Linked DNA regions of Oryzias latipes. The protein of the gene in region 1 interacts with the protein of each later gene in a pairwise test. Links are inferred from orthologs where the notes say so. Each region holds a gene or a part of one and is shown in the gene's direction. Other genes may lie near its edges. The genes, in order: arl6ip1, snx15, acsf2, spg21 and snx12.

Region 1 (6,445 bases):
CCAGATCAAGTCCTTACGTTGGTTTCTGAGTGCTGGAGGGAGGCGGCTCCTCCTTTTCCTGAAGCATCATCCTGAAACTGTTCACCTTTTCCTCAATCTCTTCTGCTGCATACCTGAATGACCAAACAACAGAGACAAGCCATAGCTACCTTAATATGCAGTTTCAGATCAAACACGTTTTTTCCCAACAAAAATATTCTATTCTAAAATAAAAACAGCAATCCTTCATGAAAAAGGAATATAGTAATGGACAAAAAGTCTGTTTAATGATGTAAAACTTATTGATAAATAATCCTAAAATGGTTTTGTAGTTCTTTACCCTTGCTCCTCCATCATGTCTTGTAGTTCAGCACATTTGACCTCTAGCTGCCTCTTGCGCTGATGCTCCAGGATGTCCGCATTGGGCTGCCGGTTCAGCTGACTCTCCAGCCTCTCCCGGTCCTTCTCATCTCGTTCGCCGCCGCGCTCGTCCCGCGGGCGCTTGACCCGCACACTCGACAGGTTGCGCTGCACATAACCGTTGGTGCCGCTGCCCCGCGGAGTCGTCAGGCCGATGCCATTGTACATGGCTCTGCAGAGGAAAAAAGAGGTGCTGAACCTAACTTTATCCCAAATTTACAAATTCCTGTGAAGGAAAATCTTTCATTCCTAAGTGTTTGCAGAACTGAACTTCCACACACATCTGCGACGACCTGCATACTAATAAAATAAGGGCAGTAAAAGGGATTGTCTCATTTTGCCAATGATGCAAATATATCAACCAATCTATTCCATTTATTATTATCTCCATTAATGTTTTATAACCTGATAAAGTAAACATTGTGGATACACAGAGAAAAAAACGTTATTATCCAGGAAAGAGAAATATTGTATATTTTAGTTTAAACTCAGAATCAGAACATTCAAGGTCTGTTGAAATGCAATGTGGCAGAGCAGCAGATTATTTTAACCCGTTTTAGATTTTCTTCAAACAAATAACATGGGAATACAGTGGATTACGGTTTCCATATCATTATCTGACGCATGTCTCTTTTTAAAATGGCAGACGTGGCGATTCCCTTGTCAAGATCGCTTGGTATTTTTAATCTGTAAAAAAAACTGATTTTAAAAATAAACCATAAAAGAAAAAAAAACAAACCTAAAAGTGTGAAATCAGTGGTGCATCACAAAACGAAACTCTCCCAGCAACAACAATTGGGTAACAATCTGGTGAGCCGAGTTTACCGTACAGGCTCGAATGATAATCAGCCTTCAACACACATAGTAAGGAGTCCGGAGACTCAAGAAAACGTGCGCACTCACTGTTAAGTTGCATTTACGAGGAAAGTGTTGTTTTTTCGACTATAATACACGTGCGCAGACATAGGCCTTTTGCTGTAAGTGACTTTAAAACTTCACTAATGTCATCAGAAATACTACAAAAAATGTATTTCTAGGCTATACTAACGTTTTATGTTTAAATAAATTATCCAAGAAGGCCTGAATAAATTAAACAGGTAGAATTCACGCATTAGCTAGCTAACTAACTAGCATGCTAATATAACAGCTACGTACCAATTTGTAGGTTTCGCTCGATTTTTCTTTCTTTTAAAAGAAAATACCGAACTTATATCAACTTAAACTTTGCGTCTGATACCTTACTCCACTGTCAAATTGGTCGAATTGATCCTCAAAACAACCGTATCCTTAGAACAAAAGCACTCTTAGCACTGTTAGCAACCAGATAGCTCTCAATTCAACCACGGCATAAGTGAGAGGAAGACAAAACTACGTCACACGTTCAACAGTCGTCCAAACCGTGATGCGTTCAAGTGCCGTAAGATAATAGTAGGAACATTGATGTTCATGAGAATTGCGTAGTTTAGTAATGCATTTATTAACTACATTTGCTTATCATTAATTTGTAATAAAGTGAACTGAGCCACAATACTAAACAAAATTCTAAAAGGTATTATTTTTTCCTGATATACTGAAGTAAAGGTTAAACCCATTAGTAATGAATTCATTTAAAAGTTTAGAAGCGTTTCATCAAACCATATTAAAATTGAAAAATAAAATGTGTAACTATCCATTTTTTTCTGAAATATTATTCAGCTAGTGATATTTTTAAAATTGTTTTACAAAATTGTATATTTTACTTTCATCTGTGAGCACTTTTCTGTTGTCTATTTTGAATTTGTTTCTAAAATATTCAGTACGTTAAAGACGATTTTGAATTTTTAACTCAAACCTTTAAAAGGAAACGTGAGTCACTTTTTTAAATTTCCTTATTTCTAACAAACGTGTTTTTTACTATTATTTTTATTTATTTATTTATTTATTTATTTATTTATTTATTTATTTATTTATTTATTTATTTATTTATTTATTGGACATAGCGAAGGGACATTTTTAAATGTATGGATGTGTTTTATTTAATTGCTTTTAAAAAGGACAATTGTCGGTGTGCAGAGAAGCATAGAACTTCATTTCCCAGAATGCAAGTGGTTAAAGTTGACGCAGGTTTTGAGATAAAAACATCCTGTCTTAGCTCGACCGTTAGAGACGCCGAAGCAGCAGGTGGAGTGCAGTCTAATCCCCAGCTCCAGTTTAGCTGTAGAACTTTAAGGGGTTTCACGCCACAAATCTAAAACACCGAAACCACCGTGATGGCTGAAGGCGACAACAAAAGTTCAAACGTAATAGTAAGTGCACAATTTCCCTCCTTTTCTTCATCTCGTGACGTATTTTGGTGGTTTTAGCCTAATGTGTTCAACGTTAGCATGACTCGCAGATGCTAATTTTACTAGCTTTTCGCCGCATAATATTTCCATTAATGTTCATTATTAACTTACAAACTGTTAATAATATTAACTTAAAGTTTTGTTTGTATATGTTGTTAAAATTAGTTGAGCTTTCCACCGCGACTCTTCTTTTTTAACGCTAGTAGCTAACGTTAGCTAGCTATCTAGCATGATTTTTAGCTGGGTTTAGCCTTCATCGATCGAAGATTTTGATTGTTGAATGTTAAAATTGCATAACATAAGCTTTAATTCTTAATAATATAAAACGATATATGATTCTTCTTTTGGTTTTACTAACAGAAATGTTGGCATGTACGTTGGTTATTTCTCAGAGACGCCCCAGTGGGTTTAATTAAAATACTCCCCGCATTATAATCGTTTTGCGGAACATGTCTCGTTGCGGATACTATAGTTTTAAAGCTCCATTATTGCCTAATTTAAGACTTCCGCTTAATTGAGCCACGTCATTTCCCCAACTTTTAGAATAAATTACTCAAACCAAACTGTTGGTTTTTGGGCTTTTGGCTGCAGTGCCAGACCCTCCTAAAAAGAGTTTAGGCCTCATTTCAGTCACAGTGCAGCATTAGACTAATGATTTAAGTGTCACCCTGTGGGTAATAATTTCCAGTGAGTCACAGTTTTGTTATCAGTGACTCTGACTGATAGCTTTTGTTTTAAGGAAGATGTTTTTAGAAAGGGAAAGGCTGACAAGAGACCAAACAAAGAAGGGAGTGTATAGACAAATATTCATTTGTCGTTTTAACTATTTATTCAGGAATGTTCCTGAAAGCTTTCTTCTGTTTTTGATTCATCTGCTGTCAAAATAGAGTAAAAGCAGGAATAAAAAAAAAAGTCATCAAAATAGAAACATTTTTTTTTACTGGGGACTCCAGACTGGTTGGTTGGTACCGGGTTTGCTGAAGCAGTGTTCTGTGTTTAGGCTCAGGAAACTGCACAGCTGGAGGAGCAGCTGCAGGCCTGGGGAGAGGTGATCCTGGCTGGGGATCGTGTTCTGCGATGGGAGAAGCCCTGGTTCCCTGGAGCTCTAGTGGGAGCTACCACCGTGATCTTCTTGTAAGTCGGGTTTACTCTATGCTGGGTTGGGTTTTAGAACATGCCATACCAGAATGGTTTCATCTGGGATTCTTTCATTTTTCTTTCGGATGTCTACTTTTAAAGATCGACGCTTGAATTGTTAATGAGGTGACCTGTAAGGACAAAAGGAGGATATATAGTAATGTCGCTACAGAGAATTTGCTCTGAAAAGTCCAATTTCCATGAAAACTTGAGAAACTCTTCATTTTTATGTTTCATTCTTAGAGTTGAACAACAATTGCTTCTTTCAGGCCTAATTTTGTTGCAACACAAGGTTTTTCTTTGCCTGAGGGAAAGTTTTCGGTTCTCTTTCACTCTGCCTTCAGTTTTTATCAGAGTGCAAATGCAGTTGTGTAAATGTTTTCAGAGTTGAGAGAAGTTGGTAAATGAAAATGTATGTAAGGATTTAAAACTTTTAAAGGTAGTCAGACTCATTGACCCACGATGAGGGAATCTCACCTTCTTGGGATCTTCAGTGCTGTTGCCCAGACTTGCGTAAACTCATGTCGGCACATGGAAAAACTGAGGTTTACGGCTATTACCATGTGTTCTCTCACATCATGCTGCATTAGACACTGAGTTGTTTGTATTTGCCAACGTCTCTCTTTTTAACTTCCCGTGTGCTGCGCTGCGCCTTTTCCTGTAGATTTAGAGCTTTTTGTATCTGAAGTCATATTCAGAAAAAAAAGCTGCAAACTATCAAACATTTCTAGTTGTATAAAATATCACAGCCTGAAGATGCAGACTAGCTTGTTGGGTTTAAAAAGCACTTTGTGTTTTGTTAAAATCACAGTTCAGCTGCTTTCTTAATGTGCTGCATTCCTGTTTAATTCCCCCAGTGTCCACGCCCTTCCTCCATCTGCAGCCCACAGTTGGATGATTGTTTATCAGCCTCGCAATACTTTTTCAGATGTCGTATTCATAACCGCACAGAAACCTCTGTGTGTTGTTGTTTTTTTTTTTCAAGTAGATGTTTGAATGTTTGCTTCCTGTTTCAGGCTGGTGTATTACCTGGACCCGTCAGTGCTGACTGGACTCTCCTGCACAGTCATGCTGCTCTGCTTGGCTGACTACTTGGTTCCCACCCTCGCCCCCCGAGTATTTGGCTCCAATAAGTGGTGAGAGGATCACCCAACCCTGTTTTGATTCTTAGTTTGGCATCAGAGCCGACTTGGTTGACAAAAAAGTCTGAATGGTTTTGTCTTCATGGTGGACTTCTCTTTGTCAGACGTGATGCCTAAACGGAATGTTCATTGAGCTTTGAAATGTCAGAATGAGCTGAGAAGCCAGTTCACTGAAAACCAGACACCATGACGGCAGAGCGACACGCCGCAGGTGGCCAAGGGCGCCCTTCATCCCTCTCTTGGTGTCTTAGGTTTCTGGATATTTAACCCCCCATCAGCTGTCCGTGACCCGCGCTGCTCTACTTAACACAAATAGCAGCAGACGGGCTGGTGGTGTTCAGCAGCTTTTATTTGACTGTCTATTCTGGGTCATCTGAACCTCCAGTATCTGTTCGGATGACGTTTTTCATTTTGCAGCTTCAGCCAGGCTGTCGTTCTGTCTGACCAGCTCGCTGACTTTTGTTGTCCGTTGCTGAGACTGCAGAGGAGTCTGATCAAAACGATGTCCTAAGGTCGATGAATGTGACTGAGCGTGCTCCCGCTCTGAGAACACAGGCAATGACTCGGCAAAGTGGGGGGGCAGTGCTCCAACATGGGGGTTTCAAGAAAGTTTTCCCTTTTTTTAGTGAGGAAATATTAAGGCTGTGAACATGCAGAAACTGCGGTCAGCAGCCATCCATGAAGCAAAGCCGCTTATCAAAGTTTAATAAAACGAGGTCACGCTTTCTCCCACCCCTCACACAGTGTTCTTAACCGTTTGAGTGCAGGACTACTGAGCAGCAGCAACGCTTCCATGAGATTTGCGGAAACCTGGTGAAGAGTCAGAAGAGGGTTGTTGGCTGGTGGAAGCGTCTCTGCGCTCTGAAGGAGGAGAAGCCCAAAATGGTAAATTTAAACGCTGCAAGTGAACAGCAGAGCGTTTGAAACTGCGGCCCAGATTAAAACTTCATCTGACTAGGCTGAGCCGGTCCGCTTGTAACTGGGTTACAAGCAGCAGGAGTCCCAAACTTTAACATAAAGCACTTCCTTTTTGTTTTTGATGAGTTTCTCTCTAAGCTCAGGAAGTTCTCCCCCATTGTTTCATCTTCACAGTACTTTGCCTCAGTGATCAGCAGCCTGCTGGCAGTGGCCTGGATCGGACAGCAGGTGCACAACCTCTTCCTCACCTACCTGACTGGTAAGGTTGTGTCTTTGTTGTGTTGTCGTGACAATGTGCTTACTCTGCAGTTTTTCAGCTACTCGTGACTTTCAGGCTTCCTGCTACTGTAGATCAATCCACAGATCAATGCGGGCTTTTAGAGGCGCACCCTCCTGCTGTTTAAACCTGTGACACATCTGCTGATTCACAGATGTGTCACAGGTGAACCTCTGTCAGCTCCAGCGCTCTGAGACATGTCTAGAAGTCAGAACAAAAGTGGAGAGCAAGTTTCTTCATGATCACTT
Region 2 (4,680 bases), on another chromosome or scaffold:
AGGAGAGGAGGAAGGCAGCCGAGGCCATGCTTCAGTTCACCACCAGCATCCCTGCGCTCTACAACAGCCCGCAGCTCAAGGACTTCTTCAGAGTGAGGACACAGATTCACACTTTCACTGTCTCATATCCCCCTCCTCCTCCTCATTTCTCTTCCTTCATTTTTCTTCCCTCAGGGGGGTGAAGTCACAAGGCCCCTTGATCCCTCCCCTCTGTTCTCGGCCGGGGCTCTGCCTCCCCCTCTAATTCCCCTGCCCAAGCGGAGGGCTTCGGATTGTGACCCGGCTGAAGAGGAAGAGGGCAGGGAGGCCCCCACTTTACCCCAAGATTTGGGCACCAACTTGAGCTTAGAGTTGGGGGAGCCGGAGGTGGCAGCCGAGGCGTACGTTGAGGTCGGAGGAACTCCCAGAGGAGAAGAGGAACTTAGTGATCTGGAAGAGCGAGGTACGAGACTTTAAACGTTATTTATTTACTATTTTTGGTAGATTTTTGTTCTCATCTTCTGTCCGTTTGTCCAGCTGCTTCTCCTGAAATATCTTCACCAAGACGCCACCAACCAGACGGGACCCACGAGGAGTTCGATTCCCTGTTTGACTCAGAGGCAGAGGAGAAAGTCCCATCTCCAAAGGAAGAGGGCCCCCCGCCTCTGTCTGATAACGACTTGGCGGTTTTTGATCCCTGCTACACACAAGGTCAAAAACACAACACCTCTGGGCAAAACTTGAATGCTTTTATGAATGAAAATAAGCATAAACAGGAAGTCCTGATTATCTTCTAGCTTCCCAAATCCAAGCTTTTATTTGTTAGGCTTCAGCTTTGCTAAATATTTGGGTTTTTTGTCGCCGTTTTGCATTAATCTACTTTAAAAAACGGAGTCAACATTAGCTCCAAAACTTCAAAATGTCATTAAATTAGATTTATTTATTTTCCATTAAAAAATTCACCTTTAGTATCAGCTACAATTTTAAACTTCCCATCTTATCGCCTCCTAACTCCTTGAGCATCAATGGAAAGCTACTGGAAGAATTTAGTCGATTTTCAGAGGTGCTAGCACGGGGAGCCTCCATAAGTGGCGTTCTCCTGTTGCCCACACATTTGCCACCCAAATATTGTAAAAGAAATGAATACATGAATGTAATACTGGCTCAAGTTGAACAAAATGATACAGCAGATGATACAAAACAGATTAGGAATGTGGACCTCAGTTGCCAAGGAAATCCCAAAATGTGCTGTCACTTAAAATGACACAGACCGGTTCGTCACCGCCAGGCGACCAAAAGATAAAATGGTTTTTTTTTATGGAGATTTAACCAACAGAGATGCTGCCATTAAAAAACAACAACATGCAGCTCTGACCGGGGTGGCAGAGGCAGAGGGGGAAAATAAAGCCGGGGAAATGGGGACGGGTATCACTTATGGGTCATACAACACGGCTCGCTGCTTTAATTCAAAACTAATAGTCTTATTAATATGATTTTTTAGATCAGTGTTTTAATTTTATTCAAGAAGTTTTACAAAGAAAAATAACCTATTTGTTAATTTGAGGTCCCATACAGTTTTTTTAATCAGAACTGCAATATTTCACATCCCTGTGCCTTTAATTTACAAATTGGATTCAAACATTGGCTGCATGGTGGCGTAGTGGATAGCCCTCTCGCCCCTGGTTTAAGTTTGCAAGCTCTCTACATGTGCAGGTTTTTTCCGGGCACTTCTGCTTCTTCCCACAGACCAAAAACATGCTTTATAGGTCATTTGGTGAATTGAAATCGTCTCTAGGTGTGCATGTGTGCATTGTCCCGGCTACCAACAGTAACCAGGACAGGCTCCAGCAACCCCATGATCCCAAAAGGGCTATAGCGGGTTAAGATGATGGAGGGATTTTACATTTTGAATAAGCACTTGAAGGAATCCCTTCTTTTCTATTCCAGAAGCAACGGGCTTCTCCTCCGATCACTCAGAGCTGCTCTCCCTGCTCCCCTCCAGTCTGAATGGGGGGGACGTGGGATACCTGAACCAAGCAGCCAAGGAGCTGAAGGCCGCCATGGAGAGGGAGAAGGAGGGAGAGTTCAGCTCTGCCATTCGGGGTTACAGGACGGCTGTGGATATCCTGATCACTGGAGTGCAAGGTATGGTGAAATATTTATGGATTGTGCATACAGTATCCCAAAGCTTTTATTTAATCTTTTTAAATATATTTTACTTTTAATTTACAGATATTATATACAAAAACATAAAAAATAAATTGGGAAGCTAACAAAGCAACATTTCCTAGTTCCATCATTTTATCTTGCAAGGTTTATGATGCACATTAGGACTCAAGAGTCATGTGATGAAGCTAAGGACCCATGTTTCTGTTGTTTTTAACATGTTCTTGGAGCATTTTTCTATTATAGATATTAGGAGAATTAAGCTTAAAACAGCATCTCTGAGTATTTCTTTATTCAAATTGTTGTAAATCAGGAGCAGACAAAAAATGCAGTTTGAAAAAGATTGAAGTTTTGGCGTAAAAAACATGCACTGAGCGGTGCCACAAGCTGCCTGCTCTGCTCCATTCTGATTCATCCAATAGACGACTGGATCCATGGAATGTGGGGTTAGGGGTTTGAGGGGCTGGAAGCCAGCGAAAGAGTATGTAAACAGAGAGCTCTCAGCAGCAGGGAGGGGAAGGGGGTGGGGGTTTCTCTGCACCAACTGTCCCGCTATCAACTTAGAGGCGAATTTTAACGAAGTTCTGCCGCTCTGCAGAAACTGTCCAAAGAAAACGACAAGTTTTAGGACACACAACTTTAGGCCAAAGAATAAAAATGTGGTATTTTTGAATTAAATCAACAGAGTTTAGATTATTTGTATTGAAGGATACTTAAGTAAATTTAGTTAGATAACCTTCCTGTTACTGTGCTGTAAATTTCCGCTGTATCCAAATTTGACATGCAGGAGCTGCTTATCTGAAATGATCCATAGGCTATTTTTGTTCCTCAATGCAACTGTTTCCTCTGTGGAAGTAACATGGCGTAAAGGTATTGCTATGGTCCAGTTAGGATTGTTTGTGGATTTGCTCCAGAGCAGCTGCACAAATGCATTTGCTGCTGTTATTGTTTCCACATGGGGGAGCATGTTTCAGCGGACTGGCATCCACAGAATGAAGTGTCCCCACGCAGGATCCGGTCAGCGGACGAGTCCGTCGGGTCTGTGGCAGAAAGGCTTCAGGCTCCCTGTCTGAGGGGGACGGTTACACAAACGCAGAGGACAGGCACTAGTGGATCCATCCTATGACACATTCTTATTAGCTTGCAGCCACTCTTCCCCTTTCCTTACTCTAAAGTTAAGATTTGAGTATCAAGCAAAATGCATATGGAGTAACATCTCTTTGATCATCTTTATTTGACATTTGTAAAGCTCTTTAGAAAATAGATCAAATCAGGTGCAATAATTGATTGAGCTAAAGAAAAGTGGTGGAATAATGTAGGATTCTGGATCTATTCAATGCTTAATGATCTAAACAAATGTGTATTTGTGAGTTGTAGCACTACATGATTAGCAGGTGACCCTATTGAGAGGGTTGTGAGTAAAATCAAAAATGAAGATTCTGTTTATCCTCAGTTTCCTGCGGCTCAAATTAAATAAATAGATCAAGTGTGCTGCAGGTCAGATATGACGCCGGATGATAACTGCGTGGAAAAAAAACCCCAATGACTTTTAGAAAAAGCAGTTTTTAATGGGATTCTTGGTTTTAAACCAAACCGAATATTACACCGTTAAACCGTTTCTTCGAGAAAGTGAATCATTGTATCACTTTTGAATACAGGTATGTTTACGTTACAAGTGACAAACGCGTTGATTGATTGATTATTTTATTACAATATCTTAGGCTTAGTATGAGCCAACTTAAATGTTTTTTTTATTGTTACTTTCTTTTTAGCAAATAAAAAAAAAGAAAGTTTTCTGAATTTCTTTGAAGCAGGGAGGGGAAGGGGGTGGGGGTTTGAAGATAAAAACGTTGATGGTTTATTAAAAAAATACATTTATTTGGCAAAAATTGTTCCAACGCAATGCATTGTGGTCTATATTTGACAATCTAGTGAGCATCGATGCACACTGGTTTTTTGCAGAGACTTCTGGGAAATTTGTAGGGCACTCAATTTTGGAATTGTAGATTCAGACACCACTGCAAAATGGCAAATGCACTATATAGTGCACTATATGGTGAGTAGTGAAGGTATTCGGACACAACCCCTAGTTGTTGGATTTTTTGTGCTAAAATGATCTTCAACATTGGTCAAGGGGAAACTTTAAACATCATTTATTTGTTCTCCAGTTTCTAAACTTTCCCAAAAACATATCCTCTGCTTGGCTTTTATCAGGAGGGGACTGTCTCCACGCAGCGTGAGTTTGGCATTCTGCCCTCCTGCTGTCAGATCTAATTTTAGAAGCATAAAATTAAATTTTGACGTCACATGTTCTTCATTGGAGCCACACAGAGCAATCTAAGGTGCCGACTGCAAAAACAGAATTTAAAAAAAGCAAAAGACCCTTGTTTCAAGGAAATTGTCTGTCTTGCAAGAGAAATAATCCTTTTAGGAAAGTTTTTAAATTAAAAAATAATCTTAGTTTAAAATAGTGACTAGATTTTAAAAAAGAATTCCTGGTGAGACATTTTTGTTTTACCACATTGGCAGATTTTG
Region 3 (6,447 bases), on another chromosome or scaffold:
CCAGGTTCAGTAACCACCGTTTGCGTCCAGTTTGGGCCGGAGAGGACAGGAAAGAAACAAACACAACAGAGAAACTAGAGAGGAGCTCAGTGACTGCACAGAAAACAGTCACAATATAACAAGAAATGAATGTCAAATGATGGTCATCAGCGTTGCTGGAGAAGGCGAGGTGAGCGATACTCCACAGTCAAGGCATCACCAGTCAGTGCAAAACTCGTGTGGTCATTGTCGATGGTCCAGTCGATGCACGTTCTTACCTCAGAGACATCATGGAGCCCATCATCATCATCATCCCTGAGTTTCACCAGCACATCCCCAACTTTCTGTTCATGGAGGACAATGCTCCACCACATGGTGCCAGAATTATCACAGCTGGACCTCAGGAAGTGAGAGGGCCTTATCGATCAATCAATCATTATATATAAAAAGCGCTTCTCATACTTGGCCTTGCAATTAAAAACAAAACTAGCCACCGAAATTGAAAAAAAGCCAGGCCACCCTTTAACCCCCTCCCCTCCATCAACACATACATCCCATGACCCCACTCACAATGAAGACTTATACAACTAAAGAAACCTCAGGCTTGGCTCTGCTGTGAAGAAACAGTATTTTGAAAATCTCCTAAGGAACATCGCCACAGTGGCCACCCAGACCGGGACAGCAATGAAGTCCACTCCACAGCCGTGAGGCTGCAATGTTAAACTCCAGCCACCCCGGCAAGGGCGACAACCACCCCACATCAAACTGGCAAGCCCTGGTGGAAAGGATCCTCATAGGGAACACTGGGGCTAAAATCATAAGAAAGACGTTAAAATTAAATACATAACATCGAAAATCAAACTAGATACAGAAAATAATAAAACTAATAAAAAATGATAAATGGCAGAACAAAGCCATAAGGTATGGCCAGAAATGCCCCATGACCTGAACCCCATAGAGCAGGGGTGGCGAACAAGTTTGACACAAAGAGCCGCCATTTTAACTGTGAGAGTCAAAGAGACACACGATGCACTGACCTGCCAAGACATACACACACAATCACGCAATTAAAGCCATATCATTTCCCATAAACACTCCTCTCTTTACAATACAACAGCAAGTATTGTACTAGTGTTTATTTCAAGGCAAGTGTCCACTCTCAATACATTTATCAAATGCAGCTTAGCCAGAGTTAACACAGCGGCTACCTTGGAGGTCAGATAGCACCTCAACACACAGGAATTAAGTTTACTATTATTATTTGTTTTTAATACCCTCTGGTAGATTTGAGTGTGGTTTAGGAGGCAGAAAAACTAAATTTGAAATGAGGCACAGAGCAACAAATGGAAATGAAATACCCATCATAAATGTTCAATTTTGGTTATTTGGGATTATTTTTATCATTATTTTTGTCTTAGTTGGTTAACTGAAGGACTGGCACCCGAGGAATCAGGGATCGTTTCCCAGGGGGCGCGATACTCTTCATCTCGTGTAGGATCTTGGGCAAGACCCTCACACTACTGTCTAATGTAGCCACAGCAGGGCCCAAGTCTGGGTCTCCCTGTGCTGGTCCCCAGCTCGGACACGTAGGGCTGTGTCAGGAAGGGCATTCTGTGGAAAAATCCCAGCCAAACCACCTGTACGAATCAGTGTAAGCTGATTGGCTGTGGCGACCCCTGAAAGGATGTGCTGAAAGCTGAACAACAATCTATGTCAGGAGTGATAAATAAAAAAATAATGATAATGGTGTTTCTTCTCATTCATTATTAGTAATATCAAAGGGAACTTTTATGTATTTCGATAAAATTCAGACCAAATAGGAAAAGCCCTGATGTAAATAACATTTCTAACTTATTCTAATTCTCAGCAAGCCATTTAGGAATACTAATAACATTTATAAAGTCTATTTCCTATATGTACCAACCTGGTTCTGCATCAGACGCATGCTCAGAGCTCTCCAACCATCCAGGTCTCTAAATCAATGAAAACACAACAGAGCTCCATTTCTGGGCCCCTCTGACTGAGTGACTGCTCTGTTTTCTGCAGTATTGACTTGAAGTCGCCCCTCTGGGTGGATCTCGTGCATTTGTAGTAGGCTGGTTTGATTCAGGCATTTGACGCGCACGCGGGGGTTATCGCGTGCGCGCCTGCCCCCTCCCCGCAGCCACCAATTTCGTCCAGCCTGAGGAAGGATCAAGGTTCGAACGCGGAGCTGCAGTGTTTCACCCCCCGCGACAGTCTGAAGTCCAGTCGGCAGAGAGCTGCACATCATGGTCCCTGGCGTTGCGTTCACGGCCCGCTGCTTTCCCGCAGCTTTAAAGTGTTTGCGGACACCGTGGACAAGTCGCGCGGGACTCCCCGCAGCTGCTCGGTAAGTCAAGTCTGCAAAACTTTCACTTGAAGAAAAAAAACAGGATACACACGCATTATGGAAAACTTGATTTCCGCAGATACACAGCGTCTACAAAAAACAAGAAATCATTTTTTTTGTTTACATTTTAATTATCTAAGTTACTGCAGAATCTCAGAAAGCCCCTTTGTGTCCTTACATTAAACACACGCAGCTTTTATATACATCATGTTGCACAAATCTCATATTAAAAGCACCGATAATGTGAAACAGCTGTAGCCATAGAAGGGGAGGAGACGAGGGTGAAAAAAAAAGCTGTTTGCGATCCTGTACTAATGTACTTAAATGATCTAATTTATAATAATACCAAAATAAAGTCTCATTAAGCGCAGTCTTGCTGCCTGTTGAAAGAAAGATTGGTTTCCTTTACATAATAGGACGTTTGGAAAATATCTTTTTTCTTTATGGCTGAAAGTATATACGTCAGACATGAGGCGTGAATCTGCAGACGGAATCCAACCCTGCTCCCTGTGAGTTACCCTGCTTGTTTTGCAGCTGCTTCAGTGATTACTGAAGGAAGGAAAAATAGGCACGGATCATGACCGGATCTGCACGGATCTGGCAACATAGGTTGCCAGATCCGTGCAGATCCGGTCATGATAAAAAAGTAGATTCCAGTAGAGGACCATTTTCAGAAATACCCTAAAATAAATGTTTGTACTGCAATTTATCACAAAAAAAGACTTTTGTTGTGTTTATTTTGTTTGGTAAATTGTCACTTCGAAGAAAAGGCTTTGTGTTCCATTATTTGTTGTGTTAAGATTAACCAAACATAATGTTTTTTAGTAAAAGTGAACAGTAGTTAATTTACAAACTCCACTCTGATGAAAATTGTTTTATGAGTGTTATTTTAACATGCTCTTGTGGTATTTTTCTCATGATGGAGCGCATATATCAAAAAAATGAAGTTAAAAACCCATTTTTGATTATTTATTTTATTCAAATCATTGTAAATATGAAGCAGAGAAAAAAATCAGAAAAAGACTGTAGTTGTGACGTACAACAAGCTCCCTGCTCTGCTCCATTCTAATCCATCCTCTTAGGGATGTCTAGATCCATGTACGTCCTTGTCATCTAAATCAAAACTGTACGGCTGGATAGTTCTGGTATTGCTCGCTATTTTTGTTGTACCGGTATTGTTGGGGGGGCTGTAAGCTAGCTGGAGTGAGTGTAAACCAGAGGTGGGCACTGAGGGCCGCATTCCTGCATGTTTTCCAGCATACCCCGCTCTGGCATGTTCTAATTGGCTGGACACACCTGAACCAGGTAATCAGCCATGAGTAGGGCAAGATTATTGGCTGGACACACCTGAACCAGGTAATCAGCCATGAGTAGGGCAAGACTATCTGGAAATCATGCAGACACACCGGCCCTCGAGGCCTGGAATTGCCCACCCCTGGTGTAAACAGAGCTCTCAGCAACAGAGAGGGGAAGGGGGGTGGAGTTGCCTCGAAAGTTAAAAAGAACAATTAAAATAACAATTGAAAATATCAATTAAAAGGAACTAAGAAAAATGCAATTATATGAAAATTAAAATACGTATTGATAAAGAAATAGGCTTTAAACATTACAAAACATTAAAAAGAATATAAAAGAAATAATAGTACAGATTATACTAAGGGGGAGAGGTATATTAAAATTCAATCGAAGGATAAGGACAATTCTAACTTCCTGTTCTCATTCAATCTCGCTGTAGCTCAGTGTTCGCCTTCATCTCAGGCACATTTGCCCGAACCCGGACTTTTTTTGAAATGCCGGTACTGAGTTACCGGAGAGTACCGGCCCACTTAAAGCACTGCCTCCATGAATAATGTGGTTTCTCTAATGTTGGAGTTACTGCTCACTTCCTAAAACTTTAGACCTGTGCTGTAAGTTGGCTGACATTTGCAACAACTCCCTCTTTCTCCAGTTTCATTCATGTGGACGGACCGCCAGTTGTTCCCACGCTCACGACCAGCTATGCGCACGGCACATCCTCCACACCGCTGCTGCACGACACAGTCGGAGGTATGCTGCAGAAGAGCACGGAGCGGCATCCCGACAAAGAGGCCGTCGTCTTTGTGCAAGATGGAGTCCGCAAGACTTTTGCACAGTTTCAGCAGGAGGTCAGTTACGACCCAACAGTAAAAGAAATTAAAAAACAACAGCATTTTTAAAATGGAAATTATTAACACTTTTTCTCATATTTTTGTTTATAATTCATGCAGTGTGAATCAAATTAACTGAATATGTACAGCGTGATTTCAGTTTTGGTTAACTAAAGGTCTTTCTACTCTTTAATTTAAAATCTCTGTGTTAAACTCTATCATTTTATCATCACTTGGTACAACAGCAAAAAGATGTTTATGGTGGTTGAAGGTCCTGATGTACCCCTCTCCTGGATGTTTTTCCTTTTATTCTCAACTGACTGATGGCTTCATTAGCCCTCAAAGACCTGATGTCAGGGATTTGAATGCTGGAGCACATGGTAGTGTCATGACTCTGGGCTCTTTTATTGCTTTTCTGTATTTCTGTCTCCAAGTTTTTGATCAAAGTCTGATGTTTTTCTTATCTTATCTGCTAAACTCCAACAAAAGGAGCAAATCTTTTAAAAGCCTCATCAAAGTCCATCTTAAGTTGATTCGTTTCTTCTTTCTGTGAGCTTACATGTGACTCTATTAGTGCTGATCTGTCCATCCTTACGCTGTTTGTGTGTTTAGTTCACAAATCAAATCAAATTTTCTTTGATTTGCACTTTTCCAACTTGTGTTTCTCAAAGTGTTTTACATAAAAGCCTAATCAAATTTGAAAATCAAAAAGCAGGACATTACGCAAAAATCTTATAAAAACCCATACAATTCCCCCTCCCCCCACACACACATACGCACACCAACGTAAAGTAAAAAATGAATCACTATAGTGATGCAATATAGAGATCTGGCTTTGTACTGAAGTGGGGAAACAATATTTTGGGGACCTGTCCACATCAGTGACCCCCCCCACTCAATTTCACAGAATACGCTACCACAGGACCCCCCAGATCCAAGCAAAGAGCCAGACCTGGGAGATCCTATTGCAGTGACCCCGTTCACTGAGAAGGGTCAGTCACTGATGTGGAGGATCCCTCTGAGGAAAACGCTGGAGTTACAGATAAAATGTAAAAAGAAAAACAAAAAAGATAAATAACCAAATAAGAACATAAATAAACCTTAATAGACAGATATAGATCAGTAAAAGTAAATAAAAATATCAAATGAGTAAAAAGAGAAGATAAAATAGTTAAAATATCATATAAATTCCAAAATTTTAACTCTCAAACTCGGAGGCAATTTTCTAATCAACTTCTGGTGCTCTGCAGAAACTATGTCCTAGAAAACAACACAAGTGTGTTGATTTTGGCTACAAATAATAATTATAATAAAAGACCACTGGAAACGCTTTGAAAATAGATCAAAAGATGATGATAGTGGGTCTCTAGGTACCTTTAGCTTCAGTACAAGTAATTTATCATCTGTGATGTGAAATCATGTTTTTTACTCAATAATTTTATTTAAAGTTGGTTCTCCCAGAGGACCTAATAGACAACTGAACAAGGAAACAAGGGGCCACTTTTAATATCAAGAACTAGATTAAATAGGAATCTTTTCATCTTTATTCTCCTGTGGTTCAGTTAGATCTACCCGTTTTGCTCAGGTGGACCAGGCTGCTGCCGGGCTGCTGGCACTTGGACTAAAGAAAGGAGACCGCCTTGGTATGTGGGGGCCCAACATTTATGAATGGATCCTGTTCCAGTTTGCAACAGCCAAAGCTGGCATTATTATGGTGAGTGACTGAGTACAGAATATAAAAAAGAAATCATAACTGTGAACAAATGAGTGAGATTCTAATTAGTAACAACATTTTAAAATGTACACATGGTTAGATCAGCATCAGTTTTGGATCTTCTTAGGATCTCTTAACCTCTATAAAATTCAGAAGAACAGACAAGTTCCATCCTGATTCTACATGGTTGCAGAACAAACTAAAAGCTGAAATACCCTGATCACCAGACATACTTCTGGGTATTTTGGCCAAGCAGC
Region 4 (6,528 bases), on another chromosome or scaffold:
CCCCACATAGCTCCTGGTGGTTATGGGTTGGCGTTTGGCAGTGGAGCCGCCATCAGTGTGTGACTGTTCGCCGTTTACCGTCTTGGTTGGCTTTCAACCACGAACCTTAGACTTTAGGTCTATTTTTGACTGGTTAACCGCCATCATGCCACGCCATCACCGTCATGGAAACCAGTCTGTGTGGCCCTGCAGAGGTCTGTGGGTCTGTGGGACAGTCAGTAGCGCTGCACAAACGTCTGACCCGCTTCCTGTGCGAATCCTGCAGCTCCTGGGGTTCGGCGTGGCGCTGCTGGAGGGCGTGGATCCAAACCCCGCCAACTTCGTGGGAGCCGGGATCATTCACAGCAAGAGCGCTCAGGTGGGCTGCCTGCTCCGGCTGGAGCCCAACACGCACGCGCAGGTAAGACGGCCTCCACTCTGACCTTTGACCTCCCCGGGGTGGCCATGCTTATGCGTGACTGTGTCCCCAGATGTACCGCCTCACCCTCCGGACCAGCAGGGACTCCGTCTCCCAGAGGCTCTGCCAGCTGCTGTCAGAACAGTTCTAGGCTCCGTGCCGCTGTCGCCGCTCTGCTCGCCGTGTTCCAGTCTGGAGAAGATTTGCTCCGCCGTGGAGTCGCCGTTTTTACCTGCTTGACATGGAAGCAAAGGTGTTTCTGCACTGATGTGTCACAGCGTTAAATGTGTGTGTTTGTGTGTGTTTTCACACTGAGCACCTTAGAAAACTTCCAGCTTTTTCAAACTTCCACATCGGCTTAGCAGCTGAAGGACTAACGGACGGAAACGTTCATCCAAATGTGCATTTATACCTTTAGGGAAAAGTAGAAATACACGACTTGTGTATTTCTACATCTGTTGGTACTTTTTTTTTTTACTTTAAATTGTGTGATGTGGGCGGGGCTTTTCATATTCTGAGCAGGGATTGGTTAGTGGGATTTTCTGCTCTCTGTGATTCTGTACGTTTGATACTTTCCAGGAGACTCAAACGTGTTCTAGACTAACCACAGTGGGTCTGGGCTCTGGCCCCGCCCCCTCACTAAGGTTTTGACCTTTGGACATTGGTGAATGAGTTCAAATGCGTCCATCCTTCAGACCTTCAGCAGTGCAGAACGCTGCTGCACAGGACCGTTCTGCATGTGTCGGATGGGAGATTCCAACGTCTTAAAGCACTTCTTCTGTCTTCTGGAGCTTTCACTGCCAAAACGTTTGTCATTGAGACGCTGATGTGCCTGGAAGAGAATCTGATGCAGCTTCTTCCCTTAATGTGTCCTTAAGTCTGTTTGGGGCTCCAGGACTTCCCTCAACTTTATAAAGTTTGGTAAAAAAATCATTTCTACTGTTGTCTTTTTGTGGTTTTCCTCCTTTTTATCTTCATTATCAAACGTTTGTTAAACAGCTAAACAGTTTAGGGTAAATAAATTCACTTTGGGGTTACGCTCATGTTTCACAAGCTTTAAAGCTGCCTTTAAGTTCCAAATGGGAAGAAAACATTTCCAATAAACTGACCTTCACAGTGGGGACGACCTGAGGAAGCAGTTTAAACCTTCCATAACTGATCTTCTCTGCGTCACGTCAGACACACTTGGAGGTGGTTAAACGATTTCAGATGAAGCTTTTAAAGAAACAGCTGGAGAACCGATGGGGGCCAAAGTCTGAACGACACACCAACACCGCTCTGGGAAACGGAACCAATCTACACATCTTGTCATTTCAGTTTCCTGTCCAGGTTAAACCACAAAAAAATGAGAACAGACAGGATTTCAATGAAAGACTGATCCACACTGAAGATGTAAATTATTCCATTTTACTTGTATGAATTGTAATTTCAGAACAATTTACGAACAAAAACGCATTTCATTCAAGAATTAAGTTTGTTTTAGAAAGTTTTTCATCCAAATATTTTGATGACTGAAGTTAAAATTATGAGAAGAATTACCTTGAGGTTTGACCGATGCGTTTGAGAAAAACGGGGATTCGGAGATTCGTTGGGTTTTGTGTGGAAAGAATCTCGAGTCTGTAATGTCTTCTTACATTTCTATTGATTCCATATTCAGACAAACATTGAATACATTTGAGTGCTACATTGTATAGGATGAAAACTGTAACGACAACAGAAATTAAGCAAGACTTAAGAAACCAAAGCGGCTTTCTTACTGCCGGAGAACAGGATTTTCAGAGCGACCGCGAACGCAGCACCGGAGAGGCTACTTGCGGAAGTGTGTGAAAGGAAAATCACATGACCGAGCTGCAGCCGCTCCAAGCGCTACCCGACATGGACAAACGTCTCCGGACACGGTGACCCTTCACCGAGCAGCGGCGTGGGCTCTGACACGGTGACGTCCACGGTGAGTGGGGCTGGCGGGGCGGTCGGTTTCTACGCCGTTAACGGGGTTACCGCGGGGTTCGTTTAGCAGCTAGCCGCTATTATGGCTAACAGCTGCCCCCGCGCGGAAGCAGCTGAGCCCGGACACCCCCGCACACACACTTGAGTCACCGTCTCTGTGTCCGCAGATGGAGGAGATCAAGGTGTCTCCAGACTACAACTGGTTCCGAAGCACCGTGCCACTTAAGAGGGTAAGTTCCCGCCTCGTCACGCGCCTCACTCCGGAGCAGCTGGACCGTCGCCGATGCGATGAGGGCTAACGCTCGCGCGCGTTGAAATTCTTATGAAACACCTGCTCTCGTGGTCACGTGATACAAAAGCACCCCAGGTGTGAAGGGGTCCATTCCGTGACGGGTCATCGGGATTCTGTCCTGCTGGATCAACCTTCAGGTTCTGATGAGCCGAACCTGTTCAGAACCGAGCTTCAGGACAAACACAGCTGAACTCCTTAAACCCAGAGAGGTTATTTTTCTGAAACTACATGCACACCGTTCAGACCAGGTGTTCACACTGCGCCTGCAGGGAGGGGCTTCTTCTTCTTCTTCTTCTGTTTACTAGCCTCAACCTACAGTCGGAGGAGGCTTGCTGTGAAATGTCCTCCAGACTTTTGTGACTGACTCTGTCGTAGAATTCGGTTGGTTCTGTAAATGAACCCTTTAATCGCCGTGGCTTTAGCGCCCGTGTTCTTTACCGTACCTGGTTTTAAAGCCCTCCTATTCAAAGGTTGAGGATTACTTTATATGGAAATGAGGGCGTGGTCTTTAAGCTGACAGGTGGTGGTAGTATCATGGTCTCTAAAGCACACGTTAGCTTGTCACGCTGTCTAAGAAACGTTTTACAAATGTTATGCACTAATACTTGATCTTGTGACCTGCTTCCCTTCTGTTCAATAAAATCACCATGAAAACAGTTGACAAACAACAAAATAAGACCAAGAACGCACTGCTTAGACCACGCCCCTTCGCCATTACGTGTTTTCATTTTGTCCCTTCTGTCTCACCTGTTTCCTGTATTCACTTTTTAAACTGGTTTATGGTTTTTCTGGAGAACCACAGTTTGGAAAAATGAAGCTCCGCTCAAACAGATGTTTGATAAAATCATAAAGTTTTTATGATTTTGCTCAAATGTTGTCTTTTTTCAAATTTTATTTACATTCAGATTGTTGTAAACATTGTTTTTGTGGTTAGTGAATATAGTAGGAAGACTCTGCATCTCATTCCACAGCAGAAAAAAAAGGTTTTACCTTGGAAAAAGGAAGCTTGGAGCCTGACAGCTGTGTTTCTATTTTAGTCTAAGAAAATATCACAACGTTTTCTGCTAAAGATGTTTAATTTAAACCTCACAAATCCCCTCATGAGTGTCAGGCGTCTCTGCATTTAGTTTGTTAGGTTTTTTTCAAGATTTGTGGTCAATTATTGCTTAAACAATCGTTCTGATTGCTTTAGTTCATGACTTTTGTGTTGAGTTCTGCGTGAAAATGAGAAATCTGAGGCTGGATTTCAGCGGCACGGATCGCCCTCTTGGATTAAGATGAGATTAGCTTTCAGAAAACGGGTTTGGTCCTCGGATCTGCTGTTTGGTGGAACAACGGCTCGCGTTGTCTTTTGGAATAAGACGATTATTCCCGTCGGGTTTTTAGCTCACAGATCTCTTAAAAATGGGGATTTGTTTGGCGTTGGAGCCGACACCCGGCTGGTTCCCGCAGCTGGAGGTTGAGCCGCTGCTGCTGAGGCTCTGAGAGGTGGAGAGTCATGTGACGGCGTTCATCACCCAGCCGTCACATGCTTCCCTCAGCTTCACACGGGCATCACATGTGCTGCTTTTACTGGCACGAATCCACTCGTTTTCCCTCTGCTCACTCATGCACTTCAGGAGAGATGCATTCTGGGACAGAGAGGTTGAGTGACTGATGCAGGTCAGCTTCTGGCAGCACGGCTTAAAACCCCCCAGACAAGTTTGATCTGAAGGATTTAAGATTTTCAGAAAAACCTCTCTGCAGATTCTTTTGTTACCACTGACTGTATACCGGAACTGGACGGAGGGGCCCCTCCCCTTTGCTACAAACAGGAAGTATCTGCAAATCAACAGCTGTCATTCTGTTGGTCAGAAGAACCGTTCTGGATCGGATACCTTTTTGTTTTTAAACATCTACTTGATAAAACTCTTTTTTTTTCCTGTATCTCAAGTTAGTCAAGTCATTAACTGGCCAATCAGACGCCTCAATAAAAGTAGGCGGAGCCTGTTGACCCCCTTGTCCAGTGTTCAAAACGTTTACAGCTTTCCAGTGGTAGGGGCGTGGCCTTCCAACAAGCTCACTCCTGATTGGTGGGAGGGGCTGCCATAGAACAAAGCGTCAATGCTAACATTTTAGCTGTTAGCACATGAATTCTTCAACTGGATGCTATTTGTTCTGGTTTTGCTTTTTAAGATGCAGAATTTTCTTTTTCTTTTTTTAGTTGGTGTTTTTCAGCCTTTGGCTCCGGTTGATCATTTTGGTTGAACTCGGCCTTTTGAGTTCTTCTTGTGGTCGCGGTTCACTTCTGACGTTTGTGCTGCTGATCGTTTAGTGTTCTGCTTCCTGATTGGCTGTCGTCAGTCCGTCTCCTGAACAGAACCCATCAGATGGTTGTTCTCCTGCTATCGTCTCATGTTTCTCCAAAGGTCTGACCTGTCAGAGTGAAACGTCTAGAAAGTCTTCAGTCAGGAGTTTTCTGCCTTCAAACATCTAGACTCTAACGCCGCCATTTTCATCCATCGCAGGTTATTTTTTACAACAGAACCCGTGTGATGAACAAACAACCGAACCCTTTATGGACCGTCATGACGCTGTTGTATTTTCGTAGTATTTAGAGATTCATTTGTATTTGCTTTTTTTTGGCCTTGTTTGGCATGTTTCTGCTTCTCGCTGCACTTTTCACATTTTTCCTCTTTTGTTAAACTTTTGTGATTTTAGATTTTAGCATTTCTTTCTTTGGAGCGTTCTCTTCTGGTTCCGTTGGTTCCGTTGGTTCCCCGCCCTCTCTGAGGCGAGTTCTCTGGTTTCCTGTTTCCTCCAGATCATCGTGGATGACGACGACAGTAAGGTGTGGTCTCTGTACGACGCCGGCCCGAAGAGCGTGCGCTGTCCCATCATCTTCCTCCCGCCGGTCAGCGGGACGGCCGAGGTCTTCTTCCAGCAGGTTCTGGCCCTGACGGGCTGGGGGTACCGGGTCATCTCGGTAAGCAGGTTCATCCTGTTCTCCTGCACATCTTCACGTTAACTCAATCCTTTATGTTTACATGTCATTTATCCGCATCGGTTGATTCCGGTCGCTGATGAAGGTTCTGATGAAGAGTCCGGCCTGAACGGATGGTGCAGCGTTTCCCTGAGCGTCTGGACTTGACGGTTCCTCTGTTCTGGTTTCAGCTGCAGTACCCGGTCTACTGGGACCTGCTGGAGTTCTGCGACGGCTTCAGGAAGCTCCTGGATCACCTGCAGCTGGACAAGGTACCTGTGTGGTTCTGAGGTGAAACTGTGTTGGGTCCAAACCCGTGGGGGCGTGGACTGATGAGATTCCTGTGCCCCCTCCCCCTCACAGGTCCACCTGTTCGGCGCCTCACTGGGCGGGTTCCTGGCCCAGAAGTTTGCGGAGTACACCCACAAGTCTCCCAGAGTGCACTCGCTGGTCCTGTGCAACTCCTTCAGCGACACCTCCATCTTCAACCAGACGTGGACGGCCAACAGGTGGCGCTCTCCGCTCGTCGGCAGGGGGAGCTTGCCGTCTTCTGGCGTTCACGTCTGTCTCTGTTTCAGCTTCTGGCTCATGCCGGCCTTCCTGCTGAAGAAGATCGTTCTGGGGAACTTTGCCCGAGGACCCATGGACCCCAAGATGGCCGACGGCATCGACTTCATGGTGGACCGGGTACGTGGACGCCGTGGCGGTCTGCTGCGGACCGTCTCTGAGCTCTGTGGGGATTTTCTAACCAAGCCGGCGTCCTTGTTGTGCGGTTGTGTTCCGGTTGTTGAGCTTCTCCTCTTGTGCGTCTGCAGCTGGAGAGTCTCAACCAAAGCGAGTTAGCTTCACGGCTAACGCTCAACTGTCAGAACTCCTACGTGGAGCCGCACAAAATAAAAGACGTGGCTGTGACCATCATAGATGTAAGTG
Region 5 (6,518 bases), on another chromosome or scaffold:
TTGGCCACATGGCCGAAATGCACACTGCTGCAGTGCCCGCATGTATTTTAACCTTAACCATAACCCTAACCCCGCCCTAATTCCGTGCGAATAGTCACTTCCTTTAAAATTTCGTGTTCAAGGATTTAAAATATATATATATATATATATATATATATAGTCTTTAAAAACACAAATGACAAATCAATGGCATATTTCTTTATTGATCAGGCATATTTTTTGATTAAAAAAACGACAAAAGAAAAACATCTAATTGAAACTCAATTTTTTACTTTACTTGAAAAATAGCAAATAATCAGTGTCAGGTTTGTATTTGTACTTTTATTTTGTAATTTTTCTGTTTTATAAATGTGTGGAAGTCTTACATTGCAATATATCCGCAGGTAAAACGTGACAGATTTTAATACCACCGTCCTAAAAGAGCAGTGTCTGATCCTCAAGCTTTTATGCAGTTCGGATGGAATAGTGGAGGGAAGTTAAGTCAAATGTGCCAAATAAAAGCTTTTACTCTCTATAGCTGCAGTTAAACATAAAAAAAGCAATGCCCTCTTTATTATTATGAATGCGCCCTAGATAATGTTTATCTTTTTTTACAGTCGTCAATATAAAAAAAAATCTCTTCTTTTGGATGAAAAATAACTATTTTACATGTATTAAATCTGTTTTTTCATGTAAGTATTTTTCTAGTAAAATATCTTTACAATTTATATGAATGTCATTATGTTTCTAATTCAGTCTTCTATGTAAACTATGAGTATCAATATTACAATATTTCGCTGACAATTTAGTTGAAATTGATATGCAAGTTACGCGGTTTTAACGAGAATGTGTCAACCAAACATGTTAAAGTTTATCATCATGTCAGCTTTAAGCAAACAGGGAATGAATGTAAGTAATCAATGGGCAAAAGTCGAATGTGTAATGTAGATTTACTTCATCTTGTATCATTGTTTGAGGTTTTTCATGTTGAAAATTTAACATAATTGCTCTGAAAAATACTTGTCTTACCTTTATTTTAAAATGACTAAGTTCATTACTAATCACACACGTAAACATACAGTATATGCCATTAAAATGTTGCTTTTTATTTGTATGATTGCCTTTCATTTTGGTTTTTAATAAAAATGTTTATCAGCTACCTGTAGAGTTTTTTTTCCCACGTTACCTAACTTCAAGTGTCTCTCCACTTAGCAAAAAGTAGTACAGTTGAAGTTTATTTTATCAAGTATACTTGAGTATAAGTATAGTGTAAGCATAGCAAGTCTATTGTACAGTAGACCATGTGTACGAGTAGAATAGGATTTATACTAACTGAATACTCCTGACTAAATTTGGAACATTTTAGGTTTACAGCATACAGATAGTATAAAAAGTAAAATTCAACTATACCACCTCACTTTTAGCACTGACTAAGAATACTTTTAGTACATTTACATTTTGCTAGGAGTCTGTTGTCATTTTTGGACCAAATGATTTAAAATGTTAGGATTTTTATTATAGTACTTTGTTATCTCTTGGACAGGAGCCGGTTGCTCGTGCTGGTTTGCGGCGCCTTCCATCCGTGGAACCAGGGTTCGAATCCGGGCTGCTCCCTGTTCCCTTCTCTACCTCTGTGCCGGTCCCGAGCCCGGTTGCTTTGAGAAGGTTGCATCAGGAAGGGCATCCGGCGTAAAACATTGCCAAGTTTACCATGCGACTTGTTCGCTGTGGCAACCCCTGATGGGAAAAAGCTGAAAGTGGAAGAAGTTATCTCTTGGACAAATCCTAAAATTGAATTGACTTTCATTATTTATTCCACTCCGAGGAAGTATCATGTTTTTTCCTCTGTACATGTTTACATTTACATTAAGTCCCCCCACTCCAGTCCTCTTTTGATCTATTGTAAAAGGGTTCCCAGGGGTCTTTTAGTTACGATTTTGCCATTTTCAGGCAAAAAAAATAAAATAAAAATAACATTGTTATTTTTTCAGGACAGATTTTCTGTAGAGCGGTAGAACTAAATTTTGAAATTTGCCTCTGAGTTGTTGGCGGGACTTTTGGCACGGAGAAAAGCTTCCCTGACTTCCCATCATCCCTTTGTTTACACGCTGTCCCACTAGTTTACAGCCCGTCAAAACCTCAGCATAAAATTACCATGGCGAATAAAAAAGGCTAGCAATATCGCAGCCATCCAATTGTACATTTTGGGCCAAATGCCAGCTCAGACGAAGAAAACAAAGCCGTAAATAGATCTAGTCGTCTATAAGTGAATGCATCGAAATCGGGCGGAGAGAGCTTGTGGCCCACCAACTGTAGCATGTACATCACAGCTACAGGCTTTTTTTTGTCTGCTCTTGATTCACAGCGATTTGATTAAAGAAATACTCAGCAATGTAATTTTGAACTTCATTTTCTTTACATGTGTCATTCATAACGAGAAAAAACGCCACAAGAACATGGAAAAAAGACTGAGGTATAGGCCAGGTATAGGCCATTGCAGTTACAGCAGCATCCGCTAGGGGGAGTGCAGAGCCCCGCATAACACGGAACTGAAGTCTTCGCAATTTCCTCACAGAAGAAGGGTAGGGCGCAGGGCGGCTGGCCCCCAACAAGAAGAGCGCTACTTGGCCGACCCTACCGATCTGCTTTAGTCATCAATTGAGGCCTTCAGATGAGATTTAAGACGTATGCGTGTTTTTAAGTTGGTTTTTACGCTAATACTTTACTGGCCATCTAAAAATTACAGCCCGACAAAATGACAGATCCTGTAGTAGCCGACACTCGCCGGTTGAATTCTAAGCCCCAGGATCTGACGGATGCTTACGGTCCCCCGAGCAATTTTCTGGAAATAGATGTCTACGATCCCCAGATCGTTGGAGTGGGAAGAAACCGTTACACTACTTATGAAGTTCGAATGAGGGTAGGTTTAAAACGTCTTACCCGAAAGGGGAATTAGCTAAGCGTGCTAAGCTAACTGATAATTACAATGTTTTTGCTGAGCTGTTAGCATGTCAAGGCGGAAGGCTAAAGTCGGCACAAGAACGGGACTGTGATGTGAACGGTAGCCGCCTAGAGTCGCTTCAGAGGCCGCAGAAGTAGGACTGGACACGCGGGGATTAAGGACGGCCTAGTTTTTGGTTTGCTAGCTGTGCTATTTTTGGCAGAAGTTTCATGAACGTCTGTGTTGGACGAAAAAACGTGTTTTAAACATACTTATGCTCAACTAAATACACTTTTACTTGTTTTAAATTCACCGCTGTGGATAACATACAAAATTGATAAATAAAGTCAGAGAAGACAGCACAAGTCGTCCAATAAAAACTGGCCATTTTTTATTCCAGCAACTTTTGATAACTATCCTTAATAGAAATAGTTGGCTATAGGCTATGTATTCTTTCTTTCAACAAATGGGTAACTGAAATAACTTAAACCTTTTTTAAGGGCAATATTTCGTCCTAATTTCTTTTTTTTTTCCTTTGGTATTTTCCTTTTTAGTCGCACAAATGTCCTGTAGTTTATTGGCTATCCACATCAGTGCTAGTTGCTGATTTATTCCCCTTAAACTGTTCAGCTTGTAACAAGGAGATGCTTAAAATCGCCAACATGGCACATTCCTAAGACATTTTCAGGAAGCAGACACAGGATAGACATGGTCATTACAAAACCGCCATTCTCTAAAAAAGTGTTGTCAGCAACGTTTCTCAACTTTATTATCAACAAACTGTGGCTTGTAGAATTACACTGCAACAACTGTTGATTCAGTATTTCACGTTTGGGTCTGCTGGGAACGTTTAAGCATTTTCAAGATCATGTTGGATCAAAACTATTGACTGTAGAGAAATGCCAGCCTTGTTTGAATAGGAAATAAAAATGTTTTACATTTAGGTTTTGTGAAATTTACAGCAAACAATTACGAGACATAACAGCTCAAAATGTCCCTCAGTCTGTTACTACAAAGAAAAAGTTCATTGTTGTCTGCTCAAACCAGAATCTGTGTCCCTAACACAATCAAATATGGCGGAGTGGTACCTCAGCTCTGAATAAGTTTGTCGAACAGCAACTTTTAATGCATTATTTGGAAGAACATAACATATATTTTTTTAGTTTAGCCACTACTTTCCCCATTTTCCCTTCCAAATGTAACAAAAATAACTCCAGATTCTGTAACTATTATAAAAGTATTTGTATAGTTTTAAAGTCCCACTCTAATCGTCTTTTGATTTAATTTAAAAGCGTTCCCAGTGTTTTTTTTTTAATTATGATTATGCCATTTTTTTAAAGCAATTCATTTCATTCATTCATTCATGAATGATGAAAAAAAAGGATGAATTTTTTAAAGCAAAAATCAAAAAGCCTGTCATTTTCTAGGACTTTTTTTTTTTCTGCAGAGTGGCAGTAGTTTAAGAAATTTGCCTCAGAGTTGTCTGTTGGTGCGGCGTGAGCCCGCTCCTTTCCCATCAGCCATCTGTTTACTGGTTTCCTGCTGGCTTACAGCCCCTCACACCCCAAACCTAACATTATCAGTGCACAAAAATTGCTGTAGCTGTCCAGCCGTACAGTTTTGAGCCTGATGCCAGTTCGGACGATGAAAATAAAGATGGATGGATATAGTTGTCTGCAAGTGGACACATTGGAATCAAGCAGAACAGGGAGTTTGTGGCTGTCTGTAATAGCTTCTGTATCACAGCTTCAAGCTTTTTCCAACTGTGTTTTTTTTTTGTCTGATCCTTCTTCTGGACAATTTGAATGTAGAAATACTCAGAAATGCAGTTTTATGCTTTTATTTGTGTTTACATATATATATATATATATTTTTATTTTTTTTCCATCATGGGAAAAATGCCACAAGGACACCAAAAACTAAATTTTAATCGAAGTGGGTCTTTCATGAAACATTGTTTATAGCTGAGGTTGGCACCTATGACTAATTGCTTTTCCGCTATTTCTTAAAATTCTGTGAATTTCCAATCAACTGTTAGAATAATAAACACAGCAGCATCACAAATAAATGTACAGGATGGTATGTTTGGCCTTACATGTGTTTTGCAAATGGTTACAAGTAAACTTTTGTCTGTTCTGACAGTAACTTTCACCATCACTTTAACTGGTAAGCCAGTGACTTTTAACCAGAGAAATCGTCTCATTTTTCTTTTTTCTATGTAGACAAACCTTCCCATTTTCAAATTGAAGGATTCGTGTGTGAGGAGAAGATACAGCGACTTTGAATGGTTAAAGAATGAGCTGGAGAGAGACAGTAAGGTGAGTGGCCAACAATAACACGATTCAGGCTAATAATTGAAGGAGGCCGACCTAATCGAGTAATTACAGTGACTGAGTGGACACACATCTACAAAACATTAACTTGCCTAAAGTAATACTTGCATTGCGAGGTTTGAACGGTTCTTTGTTTAGAGAATAAAAACGTATCTGTGGCGTCCTTTGTCACGACAGCTTTCCATCTAAATGTGGAGAAATGTTAGTCGATAAAGTGTCTGTCGTATGGATGCAGCTGCTCTTTTTTCTTTTTTTTTTCTTTTGTTCATATAAACTTGTCTTGCGTTTAGATTGTGGTACCACCCCTGCCGGGGAAAGCACTAAAAAGACAGTTGCCGTTCCGCGGCGATGAGGGCCTTTTTGAGGAGTCTTTCATCGAGGAGCGGCGAGTGGGCCTGGAGCAGTTCATCAACAGGTTGTTCAATAAAACAAACTGACCACTGACTGTCCTTTAGCTGGCGATTTGATTTACAAATCAAGATCGATCAATTTATCAAACCATTATTCTCTCCATTTAATATATATAATGTTTGTCTTTTATTAAATGTATGAAACTTAAAATATTATTTATATAAACACCATCATTTATACCTTTATTTACAACAGGAGATCAGAATAAAAAAAATCATAATGGATAAAATCGCAAACATTTTTAAAGATGAGAAATGGTTATTTATCACTTTAAACAAAAGTTTTTTATGCCAAATTCCTAGTTTACTTCAGCAACAAACAAAACATAGACATCTCTGTCACTTTGCATCATTTTACAGCACATCTAGAAAATATTTTGCAGTCTTTCCATCCTCAAAGTTTTGCTGACTGCAGACATACCAGATATATGATAAGCTAGTGAATGAAGACACAGCAGCACCTAAATAAAACAACTGTAACAACTACATCCACAGTCCTTTAATCTAAACGGACAACACTGTTTCCAACAGACACGTTTTAGTGGAAATACTAAAAAAAAACACGTTTTTGAAGATTTGCATCAGTGCGACTTCTCTGCCATGATTGCAGGCAGTCATATGAGGTCACATAATTAAACAGGATATTTTCAGAAGTTTCTTTTCATATTCTGTATATGTTTTGTTTAAATTATAGACTACATTTAAACAAAATGTTTTTTTTCCCAGAACTTATTTCAGCAAACTGTATTTTTCAAGTAACAACAGTTCCAAAAGATAGTGGGAGGAAGAAAAAAAACATTTTTTACTCCCACCCCTTATACATGCACAGAGGACTATGACATATTGTAGCTGGTG

Evidence for each region.
Region 2: the proteins of arl6ip1 (region 1) and snx15 interact in binary tests that used the Homo sapiens proteins (3 or more experiments, as listed by UniProt). The two-hybrid records come from large-scale screens. The link is inferred for Oryzias latipes from reciprocal best matches to the Homo sapiens genes ARL6IP1 and SNX15.
Region 3: the proteins of arl6ip1 (region 1) and acsf2 interact in binary tests that used the Homo sapiens proteins (3 or more experiments, as listed by UniProt). The two-hybrid records come from large-scale screens. The link is inferred for Oryzias latipes from reciprocal best matches to the Homo sapiens genes ARL6IP1 and ACSF2.
Region 4: the proteins of arl6ip1 (region 1) and spg21 interact in binary tests that used the Homo sapiens proteins (3 or more experiments, as listed by UniProt). The two-hybrid records come from large-scale screens. The link is inferred for Oryzias latipes from reciprocal best matches to the Homo sapiens genes ARL6IP1 and SPG21.
Region 5: the proteins of arl6ip1 (region 1) and snx12 interact in binary tests that used the Homo sapiens proteins (3 or more experiments, as listed by UniProt). The two-hybrid records come from large-scale screens. The link is inferred for Oryzias latipes from reciprocal best matches to the Homo sapiens genes ARL6IP1 and SNX12.

What each region holds. Positions count from the first base shown.
Region 1 is NC_019866.2:2,355,037-2,361,481, reverse strand, and holds the start of arl6ip1 (ADP-ribosylation factor-like protein 6-interacting protein 1), read left to right. Parts: upstream 1-2,521; 5' UTR 2,522-2,648; coding exon 2,649-2,684; intron 2,685-3,723; coding exon 3,724-3,857; intron 3,858-4,876; coding exon 4,877-4,996; intron 4,997-5,769; coding exon 5,770-5,887; intron 5,888-6,094; coding exon 6,095-6,179; intron 6,180-6,445. Other genes in the region: serine/arginine repetitive matrix protein 2, read right to left, coding at 18-113, 320-567. UniProt on the Homo sapiens protein: Positively regulates SLC1A1/EAAC1-mediated glutamate transport by increasing its affinity for glutamate in a PKC activity-dependent manner.
Region 2 is NC_019876.2:12,562,906-12,567,585, forward strand, and holds part of snx15 (sorting nexin-15), read left to right. Parts: coding exon 1-92; intron 93-174; coding exon 175-442; intron 443-516; coding exon 517-690; intron 691-1,926; coding exon 1,927-2,124; intron 2,125-4,680. UniProt on the Homo sapiens protein: May be involved in several stages of intracellular trafficking. Overexpression of SNX15 disrupts the normal trafficking of proteins from the plasma membrane to recycling endosomes or the TGN.
Region 3 is NC_019877.2:19,411,956-19,418,402, reverse strand, and holds the start of acsf2 (acyl-CoA synthetase family member 2, mitochondrial), read left to right. Parts: upstream 1-2,177; 5' UTR 2,178-2,249; coding exon 2,250-2,350; intron 2,351-4,298; coding exon 4,299-4,494; intron 4,495-6,061; coding exon 6,062-6,190; intron 6,191-6,447. UniProt on the Homo sapiens protein: Acyl-CoA synthases catalyze the initial reaction in fatty acid metabolism, by forming a thioester with CoA. Has some preference toward medium-chain substrates. Plays a role in adipocyte differentiation.
Region 4 is NC_019861.2:37,279,011-37,285,538, reverse strand, and holds the start of spg21 (maspardin), read left to right. Parts: upstream 1-2,211; 5' UTR 2,212-2,345; intron 2,346-2,511; coding exon 2,512-2,574; intron 2,575-5,439; coding exon 5,440-5,601; intron 5,602-5,789; coding exon 5,790-5,870; intron 5,871-5,961; coding exon 5,962-6,107; intron 6,108-6,176; coding exon 6,177-6,285; intron 6,286-6,413; coding exon 6,414-6,521; intron 6,522-6,528. Other genes in the region: AP-2 complex subunit alpha-2, read left to right, coding at 266-400, 471-548. UniProt on the Homo sapiens protein: May play a role as a negative regulatory factor in CD4-dependent T-cell activation.
Region 5 is NC_019872.2:7,799,191-7,805,708, forward strand, and holds the start of snx12 (sorting nexin-12), read left to right. Parts: upstream 1-2,508; 5' UTR 2,509-2,734; coding exon 2,735-2,899; intron 2,900-5,142; coding exon 5,143-5,238; intron 5,239-5,543; coding exon 5,544-5,668; intron 5,669-6,518. UniProt on the Homo sapiens protein: May be involved in several stages of intracellular trafficking.